Linked DNA regions of Mus musculus: regions 1, 2 and 4 are each reported to be linked to region 3. Evidence: microRNA targets listed by miRTarBase, many of them from high-throughput screens and not tested one by one. Region 3 holds a microRNA gene; each other region holds the end of a gene's coding sequence.
Evidence for each region. The annotated mature microRNA mmu-miR-216a-5p reads UAAUCUCAGCUGGCAACUGUGA and lies in region 3 at 1,151-1,172, shown strand. An mRNA with a match to its seed (bases 2 to 7 or 8) in the 3' UTR can be bound and repressed. Matches are read on the target gene's strand: a 7mer-m8 pairs with bases 2 to 8, a 7mer-A1 pairs with bases 2 to 7 and ends in A, and an 8mer does both.

Region 1: the mRNA of Ranbp10 is a reported target of mmu-miR-216a-5p. Seed matches in the 3' UTR shown: 8mer at 3,403-3,410.
Region 2: the mRNA of Tcp11l2 is a reported target of mmu-miR-216a-5p. Seed matches in the 3' UTR shown: 7mer-m8 at 3,163-3,169.
Region 4: miRTarBase lists Vsx1 as a target of mmu-miR-216a-5p. Seed matches in the 3' UTR shown: 7mer-A1 at 3,162-3,168 and 7mer-m8 at 1,477-1,483.

What each region holds. Positions count from the first base shown.
Region 1 is chr8:105,767,721-105,771,886 of GRCm38, forward strand. It overlaps Ranbp10 (RAN binding protein 10), which reads right to left. Exons shown (of 14, transcript NM_145824.5): 14 at 588-3,997. The coding sequence ends at 3,867. Among named protein-coding and RNA genes, the nearest start is that of Gfod2, 11 kb to the left of the region's middle.
Region 2 is chr10:84,612,969-84,617,134 of GRCm38, reverse strand. It overlaps Tcp11l2 (t-complex 11 (mouse) like 2), which reads right to left. Exons shown (of 10, transcript NM_146008.2): 10 at 2,780-3,653. The coding sequence ends at 3,409. It also overlaps the pseudogene Gm25657. Among named protein-coding and RNA genes, the nearest start is that of Polr3b, 7.2 kb to the left of the region's middle.
Region 3 is chr11:28,755,868-28,760,033 of GRCm38, forward strand. It overlaps Mir216a (microRNA 216a), which reads left to right and starts at 1,145; the gene lies at 1,145-1,216. The region is part of intron 1 of Gm40818 (a long non-coding RNA gene); the gene reads left to right.
Region 4 is chr2:150,679,413-150,683,547 of GRCm38, forward strand. It overlaps Vsx1 (visual system homeobox 1), which reads right to left. Exons shown (of 5, transcript NM_054068.2): 5 at 1,290-3,854. The coding sequence ends at 3,589. Among named protein-coding and RNA genes, the nearest start is that of Vsx1, 7.7 kb to the right of the region's middle.

The DNA.
Region 1 (4,166 bases), not on the chromosome of region 3:
CTTCATGGATCTAACTGCTGACATTTCTAGATGAAATCTCACAGCAAACTTCCTGTTCCTCTGGCCCTTACAATTTTCCTGCCCCTTCTTCCACTATGACCCTAGATAGAGCCTTAGGTGGCAGATTTGTGGCATCCATCAGTTGAGACTGAGCCCTATTTCATCTTTGAAGGAAAAGAAGACACAATTGATAGCCCACATTTCTTTTTTTGTTTTGTTTTTTGTTTTTTTTTTTTTGTTTTTTTTTTTTGTTTTTGTTTTTGAGACAGGGTTTCTCTGTGTAGCCCTGGCTGTCCTGGAACTCACTCTGTAGACCAGGCTGGCCTCGAACTCAGAAATACGCCTGCCTCTGCCTCCCGAGTGCTGGGATCAAAGGCATGCGCCATCACGCCCAGCAATAGCCCACATTTCTGAAGTTGAGTTTGTTTTTTCCATGTCTGAGAACAATTTCAATCGAGAACAGCTCAAGTCCCTGTCCCTTTTGGAGTCTTGTAAAGTTGAAAGTTGACATTTCAAAAGTCCCCGAGGTACCAAGAGGTAGGGCCTCCCAACCCCAACTCCAGTAAGATTCTGAACAACAGACACAATTGCTCATGGATGTGTATTTTAATAAAAATAATTCTGTCAAAATACAACAGGAATCTTTTCATCTCAAGTACAATTTACTAGGATGTTTGTGTTGGAATTCTGTCAACCCTCTCACACCACAAGTTTCATGCTAATGCCGAATATCAACTTGCAAGGACAAAGGCAGAGCCAGTGTGCACACTGTGGAGGATGCCAGTTTCAGCTGTAGTTGATAATGGAGGGAACCGATGCAAAGAGGTGGGCACTGGGACAGCCAGAAGCCACCATCTGGCCACAGGTCCAAATGCCTGTGATTGGTGGTGAAGTAGGGCTTTGCTGTCCAGCTGCCGAATGACATGCATACCTGAGTTGTGAGCAACCAAAGGAACGTTCAGCCCCAACAGTCCTCTGCCTCATCTTTGTGCTTAAGGACTGGGAAGGTGCTGGGTAGCCAGGCAGTCCTTACTTCTTTAGTTTGTGATGTTCTGCACCCAGTCTGCACCTAGCCACAGACCCTCAGAGGAAGGGATTGGGGGAGAGGGACTCTGAGTCATCCGCCAACTTGGCCCTTGCTCTGCAAGGAGCTGCCATCTGTGCCTCCTAGGGAAAGTGAGCTAGGAAATGCTGCTACCTCAGGACTGGACAAACCCAACCCGGCCAGGTCCTCCTTTTGCACACCAGGGTCAGGTCCAGCTCTTTGCTAAGTTGCTTCCAGGAACTGCTCCTCACTCCAGATTCCTGGAAATGGGCTAGTGGAATTGGGGGTGCATACAGGTCTCCTCTGGCAGCAGGACTGGACTAATTACTGGCTCCAGCAGCTTGATTTTGGCCCTCCCCACAGCTTGTGGAACAAAGGCTTATGTCCCCAAAGTGAGCTGTCCAACTAGGACAGAAAGCCTCTCTGGAGAGGAACAGAGTAAACAACTTGGACTCAGCTGAAACAGTGAGATAAGGCACAGAATTAAATGGGGAGGTGGCCATGGGTACTGAGTGTGAGCCAGGTGGACATACAATCCCGTGCAGCACACAGCAGTCCCAAGCCGTCCAAGGCCCTCTCAGCCACTCCGCAATCCACGTCTCAGCACCCATCCCTACCCGTCACACCACGAAAGGTGCCAGCTGCTCAGGCACTGCTGAACTCACGCCAACCTAACCCCTTACAAAGCTCATTTGCCATTTTGCTTTAGGTCACGACAGGACTTGTCTAACCCACAGGAGTAGTTAGTCCTGGTTCTGCCACTATTTGCTGTGTGGCTTTGGTCAAATCACTTAATTTCCTGGACCTGTTTCTTTCACTGTAAAAGGAGAGGACTGGTGGAGAGGTTCTCTAAGTTCCACTGCTCTGCAAATGCCTCTGGTTTTCATTTCCAAATGTAAGGCCCATCCATTGTTAACAGCCTGATATTTCCAACCTGAGCTTGGAGCTTGGGTGTCCCAGCCTTGGACAGGATGAAATTTCCTTTACATAGGACAAGACCTCCTGAGGAGCTGTAAACTAAGGCCCTGACAGGAACCAGGAAAACATAGTAGCCTGTAGGATTAGACCCTAAAGCAAAATTTTGGAGGATCTCAGTCAAGGCCCTACTTCCTCACTGACAGATGGTCTAATTCAATTTTGTCCAGCTGTGGGCCTTGTGAGGACTGGTGGGCACAGAACATCTCGAGCTCTGCCATTGATTTCTGTGTCCACCAGCAGAACAAAAGCTTCCCCTGCCCAGATGCACTTGGAGACTGGAAACTCACTTGTGGCTTTGCCACAGTTGACCCTAATCTTTGCAGAGGTTGCCTAGGCTTTTCACTCACCCTGTGAAGCAGGTAAAATCCTGGCCCTCCTAGGTGTCCTCTGTATAGACCCTCCTCTTCCTTGGTAGACAGTCCCCTCCACAGATGGCCTACTCATGTCCTGGCAGCATCTCAGCCCTGGGATAGTGGGTTTTGTTGTTGCTGTTGTCCCGCCAGCTGTGAGGATCCTGTGAAACAGCTGGTGGGACATATGTAAGGCCCATGGAGTCCCCCCTTCCTAAGAGTCGCTGGGGCCACGCTGTAGGGAGCAGCCTTCCTTAAGCTGTAGGGAAATCCGGATCAGGAAGTCAAGGGTTCCATCCACTCTGGGACCAGTGATCCAAGAATCAGTCTCCATGAGGTACCAACTTCTCCACAGAAAGCATCAATCCCATCAGGGTTGGGCAGTGATGGTGAAGACTCTGGCAGGAAGAAAAGAGCCCTGTCCTTAAGGGCCTCTGTCTTGGGAATGGCTTCCTCTTGGCAGCCTGGCACACAGCAGCTCTTGGGATGAAGGCAGGTAGTTTCCAGGCAATCAACTGAGAGTAATGAATTATTTGGCCATCTTAACAAGGGAAGGCAGGCATTGAGATGGGAGAGAGGGGCAAGGCAGGCAGTGAGAGGCAGGGTAGAGTGGTAGACAGCATGCTGGCTACGGACCCTGTGTTCCCTTGCTTTGCTGTGTGCCCCTGGCCCACCTCACTTCCCTGAATCCCTGAACCTGCAGTTCTTTTGTTTACCTATAGGGGGCCTAGAGACCCACACCTCTTGGGATGCTGCAAAACAGCTTAGTCTGACCTTGCCCACCAAACAGCCTTCCCCAAAACCCATATTTCCTGGGCAGCAGCTGAACCTGAGGCTCAACAAAAGGGGAGCCTAAAATAAACAAATCACTTGATTGAAGTGACAAGAGATGATTCTTTTTTAATGAGTTGGACTCAAATAAAAACACATGGTGTCTGGACAGCCTCACCCAAGAGGTGCTGGACCACTAGTGCTACGATAAATACTGTGACTTTTTTTTTAATATATATTTATATATATATATATATATAATCTCATTTGTTTGTTTTTTTACTTATGAAAATAATAAGCTATCATCAACCTGGATAGGCTTCATTACTAAGTTAGCAGACACCAGCTCAGCACAAACTCTCCCGAGATAAACACTGGTGGCTCAGTCAGGAGGAAAAAAAAGTTAAAAAAAAAAAACACAAGATCAAAAACAAAAAAAAACCAACCTCTCCTCAAAACAAAATCTCCTTTAAAGGAGAAGCTACCACATGAGTAACCAGCCAATACTGAGTCACAGGTCGCTGCACGTGGAAGGGGACAGGGAGGAGAGGACAAGGGAGGGAGGGAGGAAGGGAAGGAGAAAAGGAGGATGGACCGGCCAGGTAGGAAGAGTGAACTCTGCCCATGGCTTCCAGGTCTCTGTACCAGATGCCTACGGAGGACAGGGCTGCTCCAGCCCTAGGGCTGAAGGAGGGCCAGCCAGAGCCAGCCAGGAAGGTCTGCTAGTGCAAGTAGTCATCGACTCTGGCAAAGGAGCAAGATCCCAGGCCTGCTCGGGCCATGAGCCGTAGACATTCAGATGCCTGGCCCAGGGCGAGCATCAAAGGAGGCTGCTTTGGCAGGTTCTGAGACTCTGTGGAAGAGATAACAAGGTATGGTCAGTACCTAGCCAAGGACTTGGGCACAGGTCAAAATTCCTAACGATGGAGGGTGGAGTTAAAACTATGGGCAGGACTCTGGGAAGAGTGTCAATGTTTGAGTGTCCTAGCCACCAGGCCACCAGGCTGTGGGCCTGCTTTCAT
Region 2 (4,166 bases), not on the chromosome of region 3:
CAAAACACTAAAACCCCTTGAAGCTTGAAAGAGATTTAGGACTCATAAATTACAGTTACTAGTAATGTATGCTGGCTACATCATGCTGTACTTGGCAGACCATTTGTATTAGTCAGGGTTCTCTAGAGTCACAGAACTTACGGAATATCTCTCTATATTAAGGGAATTTATTGAGATGACTTACAGTCTGCAGTCCAACTAACCCAACAATGAGCAGCTGTGAATGTGAGGTCCAAAAGTAGTAGTTGTTCAGTCCCATGAGGCTGGTCTTCTGTAGAATTGGTTCCAACAGGTGTGCTGTCAAGTAAGTGAAGAGGTGAGTCTTCCTTCTTCCAATGTCCTTACGTAGGTCTCCAGCAGGAGGTGAGGCCCAGGTTAAAGGTGTGTCCCACCATGCCTAGACTTGGAACTTGCTTTGTCTGAGGCTGACCTTAAACTCAGAAATCTCCTTGCCTCAGTCTCCTAGAATTAAAGACATGTACTACCTTGCCTGGGCCTAAGCTTTTCATGGCCACTGCTTCAAGATCTCCAGGTCAAGATATAGGTCAGAAACCTGTGTCTTCCATTCTCAAGGTCTGGATCATAGGTGTGCCCTCCATTTCTGGATCATAGATCATTCTAGATAGAGTCAAGTTGACAACCAGGGATAGCCATGACACCATTCAAACACATCTCGATCGAGCCTCATCCTGTGAGGTCTGCTGGAAAGGCAGGTTAGGTAACTGCTTCATGAAGGTTAAAAGATGGCTTGAACTCATAGCTATGGGATCGCTGAGGTGAATTCAAACTTGGATTTTTTTTTTTTTGTGGTCTCAGACCTACACTACTTTTTTAGAACAAGAATGCTGAGCCGGGCGTGGTGGCGCACACCTTTAATCCCAGCACCCAGGAGGCAGAGGCAGGCAGATTTCTGAGTTCGAGGCCAGCCTGGTCTACAAAGTGAGTTCCAGGACAGTCAGGGCTATACAGAGAAACCCTGTCTCGAAAAAACAAAAGAACAAAAAACAAACAAATAAAAAGGAATGCCAACAGCCATCTAGTGTGTTGGGTCCCAAGGGTAGAGCTGCATTAACAAGACACGGGGGTTACACAGCCAAGTCAGCCAACGCACACTTTATTCAAAGTGTCAGCTTCTTTTAAAGGCAGAGCAGAATAGAGATTTCCCAGTGTCCAGTTCTCACCAGGTACTGTTCCCTTAACAATAGCTTATCTGGGTTCAGTGACCCAAACCCCTTACAGACTGAGAAATCTGCCAGCAGTCCAACGTTTTTTGATGTGTTGTGTCTTATAATTAAAAACAAAGTTACTTTCTCATGAGAAAAGGATCATGAAGGCCACTTCCTCAGACATGTCGCTTACTTGGCAGACATCAGGATTCTCTGAAGAGGAAGTATGTTCACTCTTTGCCCCAGTATGCTGGGATTCCCAGATATCCTTCAGTCACCTCAGAGCTAGCAGGCTGGGAGCATTCATCCCATGCCATTCCTCTACACAAGAGTGTTACTTCCGTGGGGCCCCAGGAATAGAATCAACTACTTCCTCCTTTCAGCCTCACCACTTAGGGTCTGGATACTTGGTCCAGATTCACTCAAGTGAACATACACACACACCACACATACAAGATTGTGATTTCAGGACCAAGAGTCGTGTTCCCCCACCCGCTACCCAAGAATTATCTTCTGTACTGGCTGGTTTTGTGTTTCAACTTGACACAGACTGGAGTTATCACACAGAAAGGAGCCTCCCTTGAGGAAATGCCTCTATGAGATCCAGCTGTAAGGCGTTTTCTCAGTTAGTGTTCAAGGAGAGAGGGCCCAGCCCATTGTGGGTGTTGCCATCCCTGGGCGGGTGCTCCTGGGTTCTATAAGAAAGCAAGCTGAGCAGGCAAGGAGAAGCAAGCCAGTGAGCAGCACCCCTCCATGGCTTCTGCATCAGCTCCTGCCTCCAAGTCCCTGCCCTGTGTGAATGAGTTCCTGTCCTGACTTCTTTTGGTGATGAACAGCAATGTGGAAGTGTTAGTCAGTCTCTGCAGCTTAGGCTAGCCTTGTCTTGGGATCCTTCTACCTCAGCCTGCTGGATGCTTGTACTACACAGATTGTACCACCATGCCTGGCTCATGATAACATTTCCATCCATGTCTGTAATATGATTTGATCACACTGATGCTTCCATTACTCTCTCACCCTCCTCCCCATGTCCCATGACTCCCGTCCTCTTTAATTTCATTGAATAGTCCTCCTCCTTTTATGTCTTCAGTATATACACAGGTTCTGCATGAGAGAGAGAAAGATGGTATTTTCCAGATATGGCTTATTTTGTTTTAAAATACAGATGGTCTCAGGGATTTTCATATCCTCCTTGTGTAGAGACCATGCTAATCTTTGGTTCAATTTTAGTATCTCTACTGCCAGAGTACGGCCTCCTTAACACACAGTGGGTTGAATAAACAGTAATGACACCATGTCTGTAAAGCTCTGAGAAGCAGCACAGAATCAGCCAAGAGTAACTAATAAAAAGGGCCTGGGGCATCTTTAATCCCAGCACTCAGGAAGCAGAAGCAGGAAGATCTCTGTGAGTCCAAGGCCAGTCAGATATACATATCAAATCCAGGCAAGCCACAGAGTGAGACCCAGTCTCAAAAAAGGGAAGCAAGAAAAAAAAAAGCGAATGCCCAGATCCCAAGATGAGTTAGAAAACAGAAGCACCGATTATGCTGAAAGACTTTTTAAGATGTACTTAGTCTGTTTTAGCAATAAAAGAATGAAAAGATTACCATGTCTTCTGTTTAATAAAGTTTTTATTATAAAACAACCATGTTAGGAAAGCCACAAAAGTTGAAGTAAACATTTAAGTAAAAACTAAATAAACATGCCAAGAGCTATGATTCTAAAAAACCCTAATAAATGTACTTGGCTAAATCCATATCCAAGACACAAATTTACTTTGCCACTTAACAAAAAATGAAGCAGAATGCCCTTCATTTTCAATGTATTTTTAAATGTTTGCACATTGTATTCCTGCAGGCAGCTGCAGTATAATCAAGTATATAAACAAAAATCATTTCCTTTCAGGTTGAATGAACAAGTCACATAGAAATGTGCAATATACTCCAGGACAGCCAGGGCTGTTACACAGACACACTGTCCAAAACAACAACAACAAAATCTCAATATAAATGTTTAAGAAAACACCAATGTTATATAGGTAATATAATTCATTACAAATTACTTTTCTTCATTAAAACTATCTGCTTTAAACACAAGAGGGGTGTGAGGCCCTCTGTGGTGCTAGCATCCATTACCAGGTTACACGGATGCAGTCTAGGGACAGGGCGGAGAATGGGCCACATCTCCAATGCCACTGGTGGAAACGGACCATGTACCAAGTGCTGATCTCCATCTCGTCTCTTTAGTTAGTGGGAAGTGAAGCATCTATCTTCCCCACGGCTTCATCCCGGAAGAGCAGCTTTCGGAATATATTTGCATAAAATGGTCCATACACCTGTTTGTTGAGATTCACAATGTTTGCATACTGGCAGCCAAGCACTTCCAGCTCCCGCTGGATGACATCAAGGCCACCTGGCACAGGAGGCATGCTCTTCTGAGTGCTTGGAAGACAGAGCAGGCCTTTCATGTACAACTGGATCCGTTTATCTAAAGGGGAAAAAATGATATCTTTACTGGTTCCGTTATTGAAGTACATAACCTTTAATAATCAGCAGTAAGGTTTCCATTTACCCCTGCCTGTATTCAAGTGGCATTACAGTTCCTCCCATTAAGGATTAAGAGTACTTTGTCATCTGTCACATCTGAACTGGCTTTGTGACCTGTTTTTGCTAATGTATAATGTTATGGAAATGCCAGGATGGCAGCTGCATGCCTAAGCCTCAGGACGCATGGCTGACATCCACTTCCTGACCATCACCCATGCAAATGAGGCTGCAAGGGCTGGAGGATGAGACCAGAGAGAGGAAGCCAGCTCTCCCAGCTCTAAGGAGAGCCTTGTAGGTGAGCCACTTCCCAGGCTCCTGATAGAGCCCAGCCAAGATCCACGGGGCTACCAACATAAGCCACAACTAACCACAGGTCTGACGAGGCACAGACCTTCTTAGCTGCTCTACAGACAGAAATAAATAAAGCTCAGGCTACAGAGTGGTAACTTATACA
Region 3 (4,166 bases):
GTCAGGTATATCAATGCTGAGAGTTTGAACATTTAAAAAGGTATGTACATACCTTCCCCATATAGAAGTTCACAGCCTGATAATGTGTAAGTCAGAAAAGATCACTGTGTTTAACAAGTGCAGAAATAGAAATTACAAACTCAAAGGGATGGCCAGCAAAAGAGACCAGAGAGAGAAATCAGTGCCTGGCATTTTTCGTTGTATGTCCTCTGCACAGCTGCCCAAGTATAGGCTAAAGCAAGGAGAGAAGAAGAGAAAAATATCCCAGGTGGACCAAAGACAGAACACAGACCTTCAGATTCTGGGCATTTTGAGGATTTTGTTTTGGATGGAGGTGACTGGGTGGGAGAAAACAAATGGTCTGGTTTGAAAGCAAGCTAGTGAGAAAGGCAGGGAGAATTCCTACCAAAGTACAAACCAGATCCCCCAACCAGAAACACTGAATCAAAATCTCTAAGTGGGTCTTATTTGTAATGTTCTCCTCTTATGCTATCCAAACCAAATGGTGGAGACTCTCTGAAGCTATTCCCTCTCGTGTTCTTTTTTGATCATTATGTCTACCATTGATCAGCCTCGTCCACTGAGCTAAAAGGAGCTGCAGCTCATGGCCCAATCTCACTGAGCCATAATAACATAGCATAAGCAAACAAGGAGGACACAGAAATCCCTAACCACAAGCCAGATGTCCCTTGTCACACCTGACCATCGGTGAAGTCATTCTTTGCTTTGACTTATGTAATTGCTAGTTCCCTTGTCTGAGGAAGCTTTTGAGTTTTTGCATTTCTAAATTCTTTATAGATCTTGTTTTAGAATGTCTCTTGGGTAAGTGGTTTTAGAGACATTGGTGTCTATTCACACTTGATAGTGTTTGTATAAACATTAAGTCATGGAAATCCTTTCTTAATACAAAGATGCTTTTATGATATAACATACAAGACTATCTATACCAGAAACCTGTGAAAATAAATTTTAGTTCAGCAATAGTTTGTTCAGTCTCATCAAGAAAAGTTCAGAGAACTCCATGTGATTTTAGCACCAGGTCATTACCTTGTACATTCAGGAAACAGACACAGTTCTACCTAGAGCCTCCAAGCACCTCTGATCACAAGAATTTTCTTGCAGGTCCAACCTGGATGGCTATGAGTTGGTTTAATCTCAGCTGGCAACTGTGAGATGTCCCTATCATTCCTCACAGTGGTCTCTGGGATTATGCTAAACAGAGCAATTTCCTTGACCTTGTGGACCCAAAGATGATCATGACAACCTGAATCAGAACACCAAAATTGAATTTCATGCAGACCTATGAGAGTTACTGTCTGTCCTCAACCTCTTCTAAATCTTACTGATGCTTTTCTAAAATGTTTCTTTGTCTGGAAAAGAAACTAGCTGGAATTCACTTCTACTTATAATGCACTTGCTGTGTTATTTGTTGTTTTATATTTCACTTTAAAATTCAGCAACAATGTGGCGATTTCAGAAGCTGAACACAAAGTCCTTTCTCTGTGAAAGCCCCTTCCACTTCCTTTGTGGATACTTGTCCATCAAATTCTAGGTAATCAATCTAGGCATTCCTTGAGGACCTCCTGTGACCTCAGCTCTTCAGAATACATTTAATCCCCCTTCCTAATTCTCTATAAATGCCTTACATTCAACAGTCCTGATGAATACTAGTTACGGACAAACTGCAGAGCAGACTGAGACTTACATAAGATGCTTGAGCCTCTGTCCAACTCTAATCCTTGTTGGTCCTCAAAACAGATATGAATCCCTTCACTTGGCAAAAGCATTGAGCCTCAATGGTCAGCTAGCTTAGCTGAATTGGTGAGCTTCAGCTCAGTGAGAGATCCTATTTCAAAAAAATAAGACCAAGAATAAATGAAGAGGACACCTAACTTTGACACATAAAATCACATGTGCATGAATAACCACATATTCATGTGCATACACATAAACATGTACATAAATATCTATATAAATAAACATACTTTAATAACATAAAAGTGAAAAAAATTTTCAAGGTTGAGATTCAAGACCAGTTCTCTTTATTAATCCACTAACATCAAACAAATCAAATGAAACAAATTTGTAGTTAAGGATATGATCAACTTTTATTTCAAAAATTATTAAGAATGTTTCAGAAGTTTTGAGTGGCATATATTTTTCTTGAATGCCCACAGAAAAAGAAGCCGGTATGCCTCAACCTGATTAAGTTACATTTATGTATCAAAACAAATTAATATGACCTATAATTTTTGCAACATATAAGGATGAATAGAAAGTAGTCAGTAGAAGAACTAGTTATTTTCAAAGAGTGAACTCTAAACTCTAAGTGATAATGTAACTTACCTATTGTATAAAGACCTTTCATATTTAAAATCTGCAGTGTCATTAGACTTTTGTAAAGTGCCAACATTTTCCAAATAATATATAATCATACTAGTTAAAATAACCCTTCCCCACAAAAAAAAATGTTAAAGAATTGCTGTTCTTCAACAATATGAATTAACCAGTACCCCCAGAGCTCGTGTCTCTAGCTGCATATGTAGCAGAAGATGGCCTAGTCGGCCATCACTGGGAAGAGAGGACCCTTGGTATTGCAAACTTTATATGCCCCAGTACAGGGGAATGCCAGGGCCAAGAAGCAGGAGTGGGTGTGTAGGGGAGTAGGGCAGGGGGAGGGGATAGGGAACTTTTGGGATAGCATTTGAAATGTATATAAAGAAAATATCTAACATAAATAAATAAATAAAAACAAAAAAAACAAAAAGAATTGCTGTTCTTGCTAACATTTTCACAAAGAAAAGAAGATGGGTGTAGTTCAATGGGATAAATAACTTTTCAAAACAGTTGCTATGGCCTGAGTGTCAGCATCAGCATTTTCTAGTGTGTCAGTATCACTGGTGTATCATTGCTGTTTTAGATGTCTGCAGCACTGTCTGCACACAGAGGTCTACCACATGTAGCCTTGATCAGAGTGCCTGGAAAGAGGGTCCGCACACCACTATAAAAGAGACACCCGAGGAATTCAAATGTGCAATCTGAAACAAGGATCACTGAGTCTGGGCACAAGAAAGTTGGGGTCCAGTGAGTTGAAATGGAAAAAAATACTCAAGAAATGAGACTGAAGAAGATAGGTGGGGATGGGGATTGATGAGGATGCTGGGTTTCAGCGTGAGTGACTTGAGAAGCAATCAGAGGCTTTCACTGAAAGTAGCATATTTGTGATAGAATTTAATTAAAGAGGCTTTTCTTGGCACCTAATAATTTGTAAACTCTAAAGAAACACAAACATGGTGAATTTCAATAACTTCCTTGTAACTTTATGAATATAAAGCCAACTGATCAAGAGCCCTAACTCCTGTAGATCAACTTATCAGAGACCCCTTGTTAAAAACAAAAACAAAAAACAAAAGAAAAATGCCAATAACAATGGCACCCAACCTTTTGTAAGTTTCATAATTCTAGAACTGAATTCTGAGATTAATTGCCATCAAAATATGTGAGTGATTTGGCACTTCTTTCTGTGAAACTCTCCAAATATTGTAAGGTTTGGTTCATTCAAGCCAGTACTCAGCACATTGAAGTTCAATGAGGTACTGGAGACAAGGGTCTGCATTGCTCACTGTCTGAGAACTTATTAGAAATTCTGGGAATAAGCCCTCACTATTCTAGCTCATCACTGCACCAACAGCATGGTTTGAGTTTCTCTCTCTCCACCCATGATGTGGAAGTTATTCAAGACAAAGTAAAGGCTCTCTCTCTCTCTCTCTCTCTCTCTCTCTCTCTCTCTCTCTTTTGTTTTGTTTTGTTTTTTTTTTTTGAGACAGGGTTTCTCTGTGTAGCCCTGGCTGTCCTGGAACTCACTCTGTAGACCAGGCTAGCCTCGAACTCAGAAATTCACCTGTCTTTGACTCCCAACTCTTAACTAAGCCACAGACACTCTTCAGGCCTTGGATCTAATAATGCCTCCGATTTGAGGCTAAGTTCTCTTTCTGCCCAGAGTAACCAGTTGTATGATAGTAATTCTCTAGCCCCTGGTTGCTGCTTAACCATGGCCCCAACCTCACTGAGGCTCTGGATGTTATTCACATCAAACCCCACCTCTAGGCCAGGAATTACACTTGCAATCCACAGTGGTCATTTACCACTCTCCACTGTTGTCTATT
Region 4 (4,135 bases), not on the chromosome of region 3:
TAGGAGCCTGATGTTTCATTTACTGAGTGCCTTTCTTCTGTGGATACCTTTGTGTGGTGTGAGTTCCTGTCTATGCACTTACATGTGTGGGAGTGCACCTGTAAGGGAGGTTCCCATGGACATATGTATGTATGTAGTGTGTGTGTATGTAGTGTGTGTGTATGTAGTGTGTGTGTGTGTATGTGTAGGCACAGACTTAAAATTAATGTTAGGCATCTTCCTCTATTGTTCCCCACTTATTTATTGAGGCAGGGCCTCTCACTGAAGCTACCGATCACCAATTATGGCTGCTCTAACTAGCCAGCTTGCCCTGGTGGTCCCTCACTTCTGCCTCCTGGGTTGGATTACAGGCAGACCACCATGCCTGTCTAGCATTTCCATGGATTCTGGGGATCCAAACCTCAGACCTCATGCTTGCACAGCAAACATTTTATCCATTAAGCGGTCTCCTCAGCTCCTTCCTCTTCAGTGTTTTCAATATCTATCAATATAACCTTCTTGTACAGTCTGAGATGCTAATAAATGTGTAAGCAGTTTCCTTCATAACATCAAAATACCTTAGCATTGCCAGGTTATGTGTAATATTAAAAAAATACCTTTGTGTGCTTGGTGTAGACCGGCATACAAAGAGCATGTCTGGCCTTCTGTTGGGTTGTAAACACTGAGAATTATTTGCACATTTCACACTTCCATTTATGGCGCTAAATAGAGCTGGGAGGTGGGTGTATCGACTTTGGGGGTTCTAGAATTAGGATGATGTTAGCGTTAGAAATCTTCTTACCTTTTTTCTGTGTACCAGAGCAATGTCTGTACCATTAAAATGCTTTGTTGAACTTTTAAGAATTCAGGTGTGGCTTAACCATCGATCCACAGCCATATTGTAGTACAATGCTCTATGGATTCCTTGCTTAATGATCTTTAATATTTTGTGCTTTTGCTGATTTAGTGCTAGTGGTATGCATTACCTAAGGGGAAAAAAGTGCCATTTGTAGATTTTTTTCCCTAATAAAAGCGTATGGGTTTGAATTTTGTTATTATTTTATTTTGTTCTAGTATGGGGGTATTTGGTCTGCTTATAAGTCTGTACCCTTCACACATTCCCAGGTCCCACAAAAGCAGAAAGAGGGCATTGTATCACCCACAGTGGAGTTACAGGTAGTTGTGAGCTTTCATGTGAGTGCTGAGAGCTGAACCCAGGTCCCCTGAAAGAGCAGTGAGTCCTCTAAACCACCAGCTCCCCAGCCCAAGTTCTGAAGAGTTTTAAAACAAATTAATGAACATACTGGTTATTTTAGTTGTGAATAGTGATTTTTATTTTATTTGTTTTTTTTTTTTTTTTAAAAAACAAGATCTCATGGCCAGGCCTTTGATCGCAGCACTTAAGAAGCAAAGGCCAAGCAGAGGCCAGCCTGGTACACAGTGAGTTCTAAGACAACCGGAGCTCTATAGTGAGGTCCTGTCTTGGGAGGAAAAAAAAATCTCACTCTGTAGCAAAGGCTAACCTGGAACTTGAGGTCCTCTGGCCCAGCCTCCCAAATACCAGCACACTGAGCTATAGTGCTTTTCTTACATATTTAACACAGTTTTAGCTGCGGGATCACAGTGGCACAAAACTGTGGTCCAGCTACTGTGGAGGTTGGGGCAGAGGGATCGCTGGTTGGGTAACATAGCAAAAGTCAAGGGAAAAAAAGAAAAATATATATACATATATATATATACACACACACAAATATATAGCTTTCCTCTTTTCTCACACCATTTTCCCATTACTTATTAATTTACTTTACATCCTGATCGAGAGCTTCTCTCCCCCCCCCCAGTTCCTCCCTTTCCTCTCCCCTCCCCACCCCCAGCCCCTTCCCCTTCTTCTCAGAAGAGGGGACACCTCACATGGATATCAGCCAGGCTTGGCACGCTGAGCTGCAGTGAGCTGAGGTGCAGTTAGGGGAGGGGGAATCCAAAGGACGGCAATGAGGTCAGAGACGGCCCCTGCTCCTGCTTTAGGAGTCCCACGTGAAGACCCAGCTGCACATCTGTTACATATGCCCCACACCATTTTTGTTATCTCTGTTTTCCTTAGAATGTTTCAGAGACTTTTGCCCATTGTTCACATGTTTATTTCGAACCAGTTGTCGAATATTATTTATTTTATTTTCAGTGTACTTTAAACATCTTTATTTCCTCTTATCTCTTTCCCCCTCTAAGGGCTTCTCACCTAGCAACATTTCACCATCATCTCACAGGGTTAATACTTCATTGATATAGAGTGTAACACTATGGAACTAACATAGGACAAACCTAGACTAAAGGAAGAGACTGCCCGTTTTCTTATCTAAAGAGACTAGGGTGAAGGTGGGGACAGCCTAACTTGATGGGTTCCTGAGATAATCTGCAGAGGAAGCTGCCCAAAACAGACAACCCTTCTTCAGCCTCTGAACTCCAAAAGCCAGGGCTACTGCCACACAGTACATGACACAGACCCTGTGCTAAGTTCTGCGGGCTGAAAGACAGCTTGCTCGGCATGTTTCCAGACTAAAACGGGGCATAAGGGGAGAGCCTACTGAGGGGCCAGGAAGTAGCTTTGAGCCAGACACACGACACATTTATTTTTAAATAACAAATAAATGGCAAAAGAAATACAGGGAAGACAACATTCATGAATCCAAGTTACTAAAGTGCTTTCAAACATAAATTCAAAAAGACCAAGAAGTTGGGTCTGACCTTCAGACAGTCTCCAGATATTTAACAATTGCTTAAACATGGCTCCAGGTGACTTCAGAGAAGGAGGGGCTTGTGGCTTTCTTTGTTGTTTATACCTCGAATATTCAAGGCCCATCAAGTGACTGAGAACACAAAATTATCACCTATCACAAAGACAGAGATGTCCTAGACCCAGCTCAAGGAATGGTAATATAGCAGTCATTCATTCATTCATTCATTCACTCCTCTGAAGCCTAGAGATGGTATAACAATTATATTCACACTTGTAACCCAGCACTAGAGAGACTGAGGCAGGAGATCATGAAAATGAAGCGAGCCTGGGCTGCACAGCAAGAACCCATTTCAACCAAAACCAAACCAAATATTCTAACTTAGAGTGAGGAGGTCAGACCAGCCCTCTTTAATGACTGAACCACATCTTAAATAATGCTAGGGAGTAATAATCTCTCTCTCTCTCTCTCTCTCTCTCTCTCTCTCTGGGATGCTCTTGAACATCTGATCTCTTGTCTCCGCCCCCTGAGTGCTGGGATTGCAGGTGCGTGCTACTGTATCTGGTTTGAGTGGTGCCGGGTATTGAATCCAGGCCTTCTTGTGTACTATTAACTAAGCGACGTCATACCCCATCCCTAAAATTTTCTTTGAACTTCAAACCTTCCATGTTCAGATTCCACTAAGGAAAAACAAGATTTTAGACCAAACTGACTGGCTTGAGAGGTGGTATGAATGTTCCCCACTCTAGAACTAAAGGGAACTTTCCCTACGTCATTGTTTATTCAGTGTTGTAGTGTTGCTTTTTATCCAGACATTTCAGAGAGAAAATCAAACTGAAGGTGTTTGTCCAGCTTTGGGGGACGCAATCTGTCAGTCTCATGAGGCTCCCACCTGTGGGGGCTGGGGCAGCTGAGTACTGGACCCTGGGGGCATTTTCTTAGTCTCCTGCCTGGAAGAGCTGGACAGGTCAATGGCCACATCCTCCAAGCTATTCTCAGGGTTCTGGGTTGTTTCGTCTGGCCCCCTCTCAGGTCCATCCTCATCCTTATTAGCACCCTTTTTGAGATGGTCAAACTCCCAGAGTCCTGCCAACTTGTCTTCACTTTCTGGTTTTCTCATCCCTGTGGACTTTTTATGCATCCCTGGAAAACAAAAAGGAAAGCCAACAACAATAAAAATTTTGTTTTGTTTTGAGACAGGGTCTTTCTATGTTGTCCTGACTGTCCTGGATCTTGCTATGTACCCCAGGCTCACCTCAAATGCACAGGGACCTCGGACACATCAAAGGCATGTGCCACCACACCAGGCTCAAAAATATTTTTAAATTCAGCAGTTAGGTACATTCCTTCTTGATCGCTGTTCTTTCAGTCTGTCTAAAATGTTCTTCCCAGTGTTCCTCTGGGGCCGAGAGGAGAGCGACCAG